Linked DNA regions of Macaca fascicularis. The protein of the gene in region 1 interacts with the protein of each later gene in a biochemical or structural test. Links are inferred from orthologs where the notes say so. Each region holds a gene or a part of one and is shown on either strand. Other genes may lie near its edges.

Region 1 (5,669 bases):
TCGGGTTCAAGCTATTATCCTGCCTCAGCCTCCCAAGTATTGGGATTACAGGCGCGTGCCACCATACCCGGCTAATTTTTGTATTTTTAGTACAGTCGGGGTTTCGCTATGTTGGTCAGGCTGGTCTCAAACTCCTGACCTCGTGATCCACCCGCCTTGGCTTCCCAAAGTGCTGGAATTACAGGCGTGAGCCACCGCGCCTGGCCCAGACTAAGTTTTTTGAGTATGACTGACGAAAAGGAATAGTTTTCGTTGTTGTTTTTTTTTTTAAGATCTGTCACCTTTCCAATTCTAAAATACTATAAAATTAATGAGTACTTTTAATTTCACACTACCTTAGAAGTTCTACATCATTAACTGTAAAAGTTAAGAAATGATTATGTTTGTAAAGAACTTCTTAGTTTTTAAGTTTACTTCCACATGCTGTGTTAATTTCACATTTGATATGGCCTTAATTATTTGGAACCTGACATTCAAAGGGTTACATGTTAACATATTAGTTCATGGATAAAACAAGTTCCAAGATCATTCAGTTATTTTCATATCCTGTATCAGGCTGGTCTAATGACATTTTTTTATGTATGCATAATGTGGCTGACTTTTTTCCTTCAGTATAACCCTGCTCCTACTAATAACCTATGTTCACCTATGCCCAGTCAGGGCAACATTCAAGCAAGCTGCTTCAGTTAGTCAAGCAACAAGTAGCGCAAACTCAGCTGTTTAAACCTAGAATGTACTAGTCAACCAGAATGACACACCATTATTTACACCACTAGAGGTTAAAAAAGGAAGTATTGCGACTCCTTTGGACTCTTGGGAAAGTTTAGCTTAAAAATATTTTATAAGATTAAAATAATGATGATGACATTACAACTCTCAAAGCACTTACACAATTTTGCATGGGCTCCTGTACTATTCGCTGTATAGTGAATGGGCTGAAAGACGTTAGTTTAACGAACAATGTCAGAGCAATGCTGCTACTGTAAGGCTTAAGCATCATTAGGTAGAACAACATCAAACATTTATTTGCACGTCACTACGGCCAAGGCATTCATCCAAAAGGGGCAGAGAAGAGTCTTTTTTTAATACTTATTTTATACTAAATGCCTGTGCAACCATCAAGTAAGATATATCCAAAAGTACAAGGTCGTTCTCATTTAAAAAGAACAGCCTGATCTCAGGAATGGAAACACGCTTCTACGCCCAGAGGCAGCTCATCACTGCAGAGCCTCTGATGAGACTGAAACGCACAGAGGAAGAAGCATCTGTACTTTCAACTTCCCCCCTCATTCCAAGTTCCTTGCCAGACACTAAACCAGGAGACAATTCGTTTATACTAAGATGACCTTCACCACCCCTGCCCGGTAGCAAATCCCTCTGGCTACCAGTAATTCTTATCCTATCCCAACACCGAGGCACATGCTCCACATTCTCCTAATTTCAACCCCTTTCAAAAGTTGACCTCCCCCTCCCACTCGGAGTCCAACAGTTAGAGAATGCCAAGTGAAGGGTGAACTCCATCAACTGGCTTCGCCAAGCCAAATTTGGGATCCAGAGGACCTTCAAATAAAGAAGTAGGTGGGGCTTTACCTGCAGTTCACACCAGGCGACTTCCACAGTGGTTTCAGTGTCCAGACCTTTGTAGACCGTCTTAAAGGAGCCTCTGCCGATTTCGATGTCAAACTTGAGAAAGCGGCCATCGTTAGACATTCCCACGGCCTTGGTCTCCAGCTCTTCGATATCATCCTGCTGCTGGCTCCGTTCCTCCTGCGGCTCCTTGGCGCTGCCGCCGCCGCTGCCACTTCTCGCTGGCGGCGGCTCCTCTTTGCTCCCCACAAGGCTAGGCTGGGACACTGGGCGGTCTTTGCTGGTACTGCTGGGGACAGTCGAGGGGGCAGGGCCCGCGACGGCCTGTTCCCCAGGGGCGGCAGCGGCTGGAGGCTGCTGGGCTACCTGAGAAGCGGCGGTGGCGGCCACGGTCTCTTCCCGGTGGGGCTCCGGTGGGGCACTCTGCGGGACAACCGCGGGGATGCCGGGCTGGGGGAGGGCAAGAGGGAGGCCGGGGAGCTCCAACGCAGTGGCATTGGAGTCGCAGATGACACTCCGGCGGAAGAAGCGGTGCTCGGTGGTGGTGGTGGTCGCGGCCGCCCCGCGGCTGTCCTTGTCCATCGTGTGGCGGCGGCGCCGGTACTCCTCAGTCCTGCCGGTCCCGGCGTCGGCGGCCGCGGCCCCCAGTTTCTCCCCCACGGAGGAATCGGAGCTGGAGCCATTCTTGGGGGCAGGAGCCGGCGGCGAGAGGAACAGGGAGCCGGGAGTGCTGCTCTGCTTCTCCGCGGCGCCGCCAGACATGGTCGGTTCGCTGGCGAGAGGCGAGCGGGCTCGGAGTCGCGGATGGAAAGGGCGTGAGGGCCGAGCCGCCCGCGCGGAGGTCTGCAGGGCACCGCGGCCGGGCGGGTTCGCGCCGACCCGGAGACGCCTCACTCAGCACTGACCAGCCGCAGCGAGGGCGAGGCGGGCCGCTGGCACCGAGACTGCTGCGGCTCGCGAGGAGGGCTCGAAGGCGGGCGAGTCGGGAGCGGAGCCGCGGGGGTTAGCGCCGCACGGTCCGCATCCATCCTGCGGCGAGCGGCGGCCGGGCGGGCGGCGGCAGCGGAGGCGCCGCAGTCATGAGGGGAGGGCCCGGGGCCGGCACCGAGTCGAGGCGGATGCGGCGGACGCGGCTCCCACTGCCCCGCTCGCCGAGCCGGGCGGGCTAGGCCCAGAGGGCGGCGGCGCCGCGAGCACGGGACCAGCTCCGACGCCCGGGCGGTGGCAGCCCCGGGGCAGGGAGTGGGAGGGGCCGAGGCGAGCGAGGAAGGCCGCGGCCCGGCTCCGGTCACTCGGCGGCCGCCGCCTCCCACACGCGCCCCCCGCGATGGGGACCGGCCTCACTGGTCGCCCATCGCCCCGGGGCGAAGGGCCGGAGCCTCGGAGCCTCGGCGCCTGAGGAGCGGGCCCCCCCTTCCCCGAGGCCTCCCCGCCCGCCCCGGGCCTGGCGAACCCGCCTCCTCCCGGGCCGGTGCCGGGGGCTGACGGCGGAGGGAACGGCGGGGAGGGGAGGGCCGCTCACCGCGGGGCCCGAGCTCCGCTGCTTCTCTGAGGCAAGAGGAGAGGAGACCTAGAGGACTGGGTGAGGGGGAACAGGGAGAGAAAAGAGCAGTCACCCCCACCAGGCGCCTTCTGTCACCGAAGACGGGGGTGCGGAGGGGCCGAGAGAGGAGCCGCGTCCGCCCGGGAAACTCTCTGCGCTAAATGGCGCCGGGAGTCTGAAGCCTCCACACAGCCCGCTCGGATCCCGCCCCCCGCCGCCCGGGGCAGCCCCACCCCCCACCTCGCTCCGGGGTTTTGCGCAGGCGTGCCAGCCCCGAGGCACCTTGGGACTTATAGTTTACGGGTTGGAGGAGATGAACGGGACCTAGGAGAAAAGTGCCTACGACTTCCGTGATGCCTCGCGGTTGCTGTAGCCTGATGCCTCGTGGGAGTTGTAGTTTTCTTTAGAAACCGTCCCTTCTGAAAGGCTGATGGGAGCGTCATCGCGGGTCGCTCAACCCCATCCTGAAGTCCGCGCGAGCTTAGGAAAATCATTATTTAGGGATTAATTGTGGAAGAAGGGAAGGAAGGGAAAAAAAAAAAAGAGGAAGGTGGGGGGGAGATGGAAAGACTCCCATCATGCTCTGCTAAGCGAGAGAGCTCTTAGGGTTGCCATGCAATGAAAAATGATCTGTTGTTCATCTTTAATGGAGAGAGCCGCAGTAGTGTTGAGTGACTGCAGGGCTGTGGGGGTGGAGGGGAAGGGTAAAGCCGGATAACCGGAGCCTGAGTTCTGAGTCGGAGGAGGGGAAAAGAAACTTTGTGAAGATGGTGCATGAAATTAATATTGATTAAATGGATTGGAGGAGGAGACAGGATTATCTTCCATCCTCCTCCCCTCAACAATTAAGGCCACATTCTCAGCTCCCGCCCGACACGGATATTCCGGCTCTCAAAAAAGGGCTGCCTGACTGAAATGGGGGATCCTAGTGAACTCCCTCTTGGCTTTGCCTGAAAGATAATAAAAGCGGGGTTGGGGGAGCGGTGGATTCAAGAAAAGATAAGGTCTACGGATCTATGGGTCTTTGGCCACACTTGGGGGGGCTGGGCTGACTTCTGCCTTTGTAGTTGGTTGAAACTTATTTTCCACCTTTCTTCTGCTGGGTGGCTCCGTGAAACAACACCCCCTCTTTCTCCAGAGCTCCTCAGTGTCCACATGCAACGTCTACCAGGGCCCTGGGCCCGGGAAACGTGGATCCCTGCGGCTCGGCGCCATGGCATGTTTTTCTTGAAAGCATCCTTGTCTCCCTGGACCCCTGTGCTCCTCGCAGCTCCTCAAGATGCGGAGGGGACGAGCACCAGGGGGCACCAGACGGAGTAGGAGGCCGGACTCGGGAGCAGATGGCAGTTTAAAAGCCTCGGTCCAACCGGTGGAGAGCGGGAAGCGCGGAAAACGTACGCAACCGCATCAGAGCGTCCGGGCGCGGCCGCCTCTCTTGGGCGCCCGCTGCGGAACCAGCTCGGAAGCGCGCGTCCCGGGCCGAGGACCACGCTGCGAGCGAGCAGCCAGCGAGGAACTCGGCAGGAGGTTCCTTAGCACAGTTCTCGGATGAGCTCCACCTGCAGAATTCTTGCCGTGCAGTTCATGTTAATTCATCTGATCCGTAAAATGGTTAATGCTGTTTTCTTTCTCTTTTTGTTGTTGTTTATCACAAGCTACCCTTTCGAGTTTACAACAATGTTTGAAGCCAATGATTGTGAGGTTTCATGAAGCTGACAGGTTGTGAACATTTTAAAATGCCAATTCAGTAGGGACAACTAGAGTACTAAAATATTAGTGTTCCATTGCTCTAGAAAATGTATCTTTCATTCGTTTGCTGCTGGTAATGGTAAATAATCTCATTATGGTAAATGGAATTAAGAGTGTATTTCTAACCGTAAACCTACTGTAAGCAAGGGAAGAAATGGCCGTAAAATACATTTTTATTATACTTCTTGAGTCAAATAAAACTTGCCCAATTGTTGCTTCAGGAGGAAAAATAGTCTGATTTTAAACATAAGGCAGCTAATTACAAATTGGCAAGTTAAAAGAAGATCAGTAAATCACAATGTTCCCTTTTGGCACCATAAAAAAATTAGGATATTTTTGTGTGAGTGGTTATTAAAGGATTTTATTATTGCCTGTTCCTGTTTACTGAGCCCTGAAACTTTGGCCACACTGCATTGGACACAAGTCCCTTGATAATCACCATGCCCTATCAACATGTCTTTTCAACCAGGAACAACTAAATTCATTGTAAGTAATTTAATTAATTGTTGACTTAAAACCACACTTGCCTAGGAGACAGCTTTTCCCACTTGTGTAATGTTAGCTTTACAATGAAAACAGATACAATTTTAAGTTGAATATAATCTTGTTACGTACAATGATTAGATTTAAAGGTTATGTTGTTTGGTGTGCATATTTTACTAACACTTTTTTGTTCACTTTTTTTTTTTTTTTTTTTGAGAGAGTCTCATTCTGTTACCCAGGCTGTAGTCCAGTGGCTTGATCCCGGCTCACTCAGTTCTTTTTAATGCTTACCAACCTATCTCCAAGT
Region 2 (5,353 bases), on another chromosome or scaffold:
TTTTGGCCTGAACAAACATGTATCCAGCCCATGGTTCCAAATCACTGAGGCAACTAGATGCCACAGGTTGTCTATAAAAAGAAAGATTAAGGTAGATCTTGATGAAACCTAAAAGAAGAAATGCCAAGCCCTATGGGGGAACTTACTATACGGAGATAGTTTTAGGTAAGAAGCAAGATGATGGCCTGATAAGCTCCCTCATTTCCTCATGGAAATGGTTCTACTTAATCTGCTTTGGATGATAAACAGAGAGAGGTCCTAAAATATGCCTTGGTTAGTAACCCAGCAGCGAGGTATAGGCTACAACATAGCAATAGGTGGATACCAATGATAATAGCAACTACCATCTCCTGAGTACTCACTCAGTGCCTAAAAAACTTTACTAGGTACCTTACACATATTGTATCATTTAATCTTCACAACAGCTCTATGAAGTATAAGTACTGTTATTATTTCCTTTACACAAAAGAGAAAAATTAGTTCTGAAAAGAGTGTGACACACTCAAGGTCACACTGTAAAGTAGATTCACCACTAGGTCTAAGTTACTCCAAAGCCCATGCTTTTAATTAATAGCCTTTCAAGGTACAAAGTATTTTCATACCCTCGTGGCAAAGAAAAAAAATTGTTCATTAGCAATCTCTTGGTTGAAATTTTGTAATGCTTAAAAACAGCCCCAATTAAGATTCAGCAGGTTAAGTGTGGAACAAGCACCAGATTCAGGATCCCTCCAGTCTCTGGAGGTTGGACATGTGATCCTAGGCAAGTCACTCAGCTTCTCCGGACCTCAATTTCCCAGGGAACTTGCAAAACAAGGCTACTTCCCTCTGTTCGCCCCCCTACCTCAAAGCATTCCATGGAGTCAGTTACCCGTGCTAAGATAATAAGGCTGATATCCAAAGATGAACCTATTGGCCAAAGGCTTCAGTCTCTTCTCTCACCAACTTTCTTTTTAGTTATCAGAGCCTCACACAAAGGTTATTAGTTAATCAGCTAATAACTATTCAGCACCTGCTATTTGTGTACCCACACAGTAGTCAATGGGCGTATTTAGAAGTACAAGGTACTAGCCTTGCCCTTGAGGACCTGTCTCCAAGTTTGGGGACTGCTAAGATATATGAAATAAAAGCACTAAAAGATCTGATGGGCCTATTATTCAGTGTCCAACTATGAGATGCAAACTAGAGGGATTAGAATTCAGAAGAACATCAGCCAGGACTAGAAAAGCTGAGTTTCCAAGATAAAGTAGAATTTTAGAATAACCTTGATAGATAACTTTTGCAAAATTAGAAGGGAAAGACATCCAGCAAAAGAAACTCTGGGAGCTAAGGATATGAGGCTAGATGAAGTAATGTATAGGATGGGTGATCATGAAAGAGATCAATAGAATTGTTAGTAGGTTTATGAGTGAGCAGTGGGAATGGGAACAGGAGTTGGAGTTCAGAAGACTTGAATGCCTGGCATGGTAAGCTGGGCTTGAGGCAGGAACAAAAGGTATGACCTGGGTGACCTGGTGAACATTGGAAGCTGCTCGGTTTGGATTTCTTGTCTACCATCTGCCTTCAGCAGAGGAAAAGTACAAGAACATGTGCAACCTGGTGTTCTAAAGCCATAGACATCAGCCATCCCAGCTGAGAGGCCCCAGGACAGGGGCAGGGACTCATTACATTTCTGAACACAGAACTGGGAACACAGTGCCCCAAACCATTTGATCCGCTGCTAGTAGTCTCACACTGATCTCTCAACCCCAGTTACACCACAGATCAAGCAAATAGGCATGGCCCAGAATCTCTAAACCTTCATCACATCAGCCCCATTCTCTGCCACCTACCAGATCAATGGAACACTGTTTGGGGGACCAAAGACACTGCTCACCTCTGCCCCACACCTAGGAAACAAGCCTTCACATGTTCTGCTGCCCAGCAGGCCACATGCAGTTCAACACTAAACTCCTGTTACAAAGAGCACCCAGAAAGACGATGCACCAGCAGCACAGTCAGTCCCAGGCTCTTCCTGTGGGAGTCATCAAGAACACAATTCCCAGGGCCTCTACGGACAAAAGAATGAGATGACACTCAACCATCATGCCAGTTCTAATAGGGTCTAGAGATGTTCAATGGCATCACTGAGCCCCGTGAGACGCAGAAGTCACAACAACTCATGAAAAGGAAAGTATTCACTGAGAGATTCTCTAGTGTTGACTTAGTTGAGCCTATTATTGTTAACCAGATAGTTACTGTCTGCATCAAACTGGCAACCTGGAGCAGCAGCCTTCCCCTCAGTGGTGCACTGCCATGGCCGGACCCCTCCCTGCAGTGCTCTCTCCTCGGATAAAATGGCAAGCCCTGTACTCTACCAACTGCAGACCAAAGAATGAAGAGGTTGGCACTCAAGAGATATTTTACTTCATAGACAGAGGAATGTCACCTCTGCACTGCACTGAGTACTTTCACAATGAAAGATTCAGATCTTCAGATAACAATTTAAAAATTTAGATGGGTGTGCCTGCCAGGATCTAACTGCCTCGCTAGTTAGATCCAGCTCAACAAAAGTACTTGAAATCTTTTCTGCTGGTTCGTATTTCAAAAGAAATCCCTGATGGAGGAAGCACAGACCTTCCAGTATAACTCATAAACTTTTCAATACAAATATGAAACTCAGTTCAGAGCAAGTGTCATCTGACTGGATTTCTCTCCTTCATCCCTGAATGTGTGTGTATACAGGCATACACGGCGTGCCTGCGCGCACACACACACACAGCCATCAGCATGGCATGCCTGCTGAAGATTCGAGCACTCCTGCGTGAAAATGCAAGTACACTATGTCAGGCCAGCCCCACTATGACATCAAAAACCCCCCACCAAAGAAAAAACACCCCGGGAAAGTAGCCAGGAAAGGGAAACGCCTCCTTGAAACAGCCTGAGAAAGGCAATCTAATTCAGCCTGTGCTGAAACTATTCCCGAACACCAGCCAGGAAGTCCCTTCTTTCAGGGTGCTCCGCTGCCTAGCAAACCCAGACCTGCCTTTGCGGAAGCCAGATCTCTGGAGATTCAAGCCCTGGAATGGGTGGTTTGGAAAGCGGCTTTTCTGCTCTTGCTCTGCCGCCCTTTGAGATCCATCAGTGGCCAGGTTTTCCAACCCTGCCTAGCCAATGCAAACACAAAAGCTGGTGGCTGTACCGCAAGCACACATTTACTTATATACACACACAACACAGCACATACTTATACATACATACCTTTCACCCTCCATTGTGTGAGGCCCAGTCAGGATGGTAGCCGCTGAACTGTGTGCATGCACCCGGGGATCCTAGTTCTGTTCTTGATTCTCCCAGCAGACCAGTGGGAGATCTGATCAGCAACAGTGATTCAGCATGGCTGCAAGTGAAGCCTCCTCCCTTCTCAATCCTCCTTCCTCTGACTTACTCGCAGCAGCTTCTACCGCAAAAGCAGCAGCAGCAGAAAATGTCTTACCCAGAGCTCCCTGCAGCCCTTTCAGCTGCTAAAAGCAGCAACCCACTTGCTCCCCCTCCCCCGCAGGCTTGCTGCTCCTTGGTCTCCTAGGAACGGCAGCAGCTCCAGCGACCCAGGTGCACTGCCACCTTTCCAGCTGCCTCTGCATCTGCCCAGGCATCCCCAGCCCAGGCGATTAGCCCGCCCCTGGGGCTCCTGCCTCCTCTGTCTAGGCTGCAAAGAATCAGGCAGTTCGTCACTAGCCGGAGAAATACTGGCCCCTACACCCTCCCCTGCCCCCATAGGCTATGAGTCTGTCAGCCTGGCCAGATTGCTGGAATGAGGAGGCCCCTCTGTGGCCTGCAGTGGAGTTTATCATCCACCTGGGGAAATTCACTTGTAGGTCACAGTTTATGTTCCAAATCCTCCTCCCAAATTCTATAGTAGCTCTGAGTGTCTGATAGATGGGGAGAAGTTAAGGAAAAAGCACCTGACAGAAGTGAGAAGAACACAGAGAGAAATTAAAAGAATACAGAGAGAAATTGGAAAATTAGTCGAAAAAGAGAGGTAGTACAAATAGGTGAAACGGAAACAAACTCTATTTTACTCCAAGAGGCCAAAGACTACTGCAGTAAAGCTATCACAATGAATACTAAAATATCTTAGCACAATCCTAAAATATCTTCCTAAAATCTGTCATATTGGAATTTAACTTAAGCTGTGGCTCCAACTAGTAAGTCTCCCACTGAACCCCCATATCCAGCCAAAGATCTTTCACATCCTGTAATCTCCAGCTGCTAAGCTTCTATTTAGACTAATTTAACTCTCCCTGCCTGGAAAGGCTTCTCCAATCCCAGTCCTTTAGTCTTTCTGGGAGGCTAGTCAAAATCTCATGTCTTCATAACTTCCCGAATCACACCAATGACAGCCAATCACCACCAAAATAGCTACAAACTATACTGTCCTGTATTGTCATCTCACACCTAGCTAATTCATTATTTATAAATCTTCTTTCCCAAACTAAAACATAATCTTGTGGAAGGCAGGAGGCCAGTCTGTATATCCTAGCCACAGAGGCTTAGAGGTAACTGGGGCAATTAGCCACAAAAAGTGGTGCAGAAGCTACCCTAATGCCTCAGAAAAATCAGCTATGAGCATCTCTCTTCCGGGACCCCTCAAGACACTCCTGGGCTTTTCCGAATCTGCACCAGCTCTCACTGGGTGAGTGACTTTCCTGAGTAGTGTTCTCCACACTCTGGACCTCATGCTCAGCTACTCATTCACAATATAGGGTCAAGACCAGACAGTCTTTAGAGTCCCTTTCAGCTCCAAAATCACAGGATTCTAAAAATGTTTTAAATGGTCTGTTTTTCTTCTCAGAGTAACCTGTATGATTGTTTAAGAAGAAACACTAGGCTCTAATGTTTTGTAGGGGGCTTCAAGGAGGATAACATGATGTAGGTGAAAGTATGAAGAGACGCTTAGTAAATCTATCATTCTTATCATTTTAACCTGATAAATGTCTTCACTACTACAAAGCTCTAAAACCACAGAAGGAAGAGAGAAACACTGGGGTGACAGAAAGTAAAAGTAACTAATACTTTATATAGCCTCCTGAACTCAAACTGGCTACAGGGTTATTCTCAAAGATTACCTCCCCTGGCACCTCAGTGTTCTCTTAGACGAGGCCATTACTCAAACTCACTCTTTCTCAAGTGAGAAGAGGCCTGGATAATTTCATTTACACCCCACAGGGCTGTATCTTCACTTCTTCCTTTCACAACAATACCCCTCCTATCTTGTTCCCTCTATGTCCCTTCCTCCTCTAATCAGCCTTGTGGCCCTGCTCCAGATATTTCCTCTTGAGGTCAATCACAGGGACCACAAAAAACTGAACATCAC

The links. The genes of interacting proteins can lie anywhere in the genome.
Region 2: of the proteins of WNK1 (region 1) and KLHL3, one has a biochemical effect on the other in vitro, tested with the Homo sapiens proteins (2 studies listed by BioGRID). The link is inferred for Macaca fascicularis from reciprocal best matches to the Homo sapiens genes WNK1 and KLHL3.

What each region holds. Positions count from the first base shown.
Region 1 is NC_088385.1:1,507,287-1,512,955, reverse strand, and holds the start of WNK1 (serine/threonine-protein kinase WNK1), read right to left. Parts: upstream 3,297-5,669; 5' UTR 2,350-3,296; coding exon 1,591-2,349; intron 1-1,590. UniProt on the Homo sapiens protein: Serine/threonine-protein kinase component of the WNK1-SPAK/OSR1 kinase cascade, which acts as a key regulator of blood pressure and regulatory volume increase by promoting ion influx.
Region 2 is NC_088380.1:144,214,668-144,220,020, forward strand, and holds the start of KLHL3 (kelch-like protein 3), read right to left. Parts: upstream 3,698-5,353; 5' UTR 3,252-3,697; coding exon 3,238-3,251; intron 1-3,237. UniProt on the Homo sapiens protein: Substrate-specific adapter of a BCR (BTB-CUL3-RBX1) E3 ubiquitin ligase complex that acts as a regulator of ion transport in the distal nephron.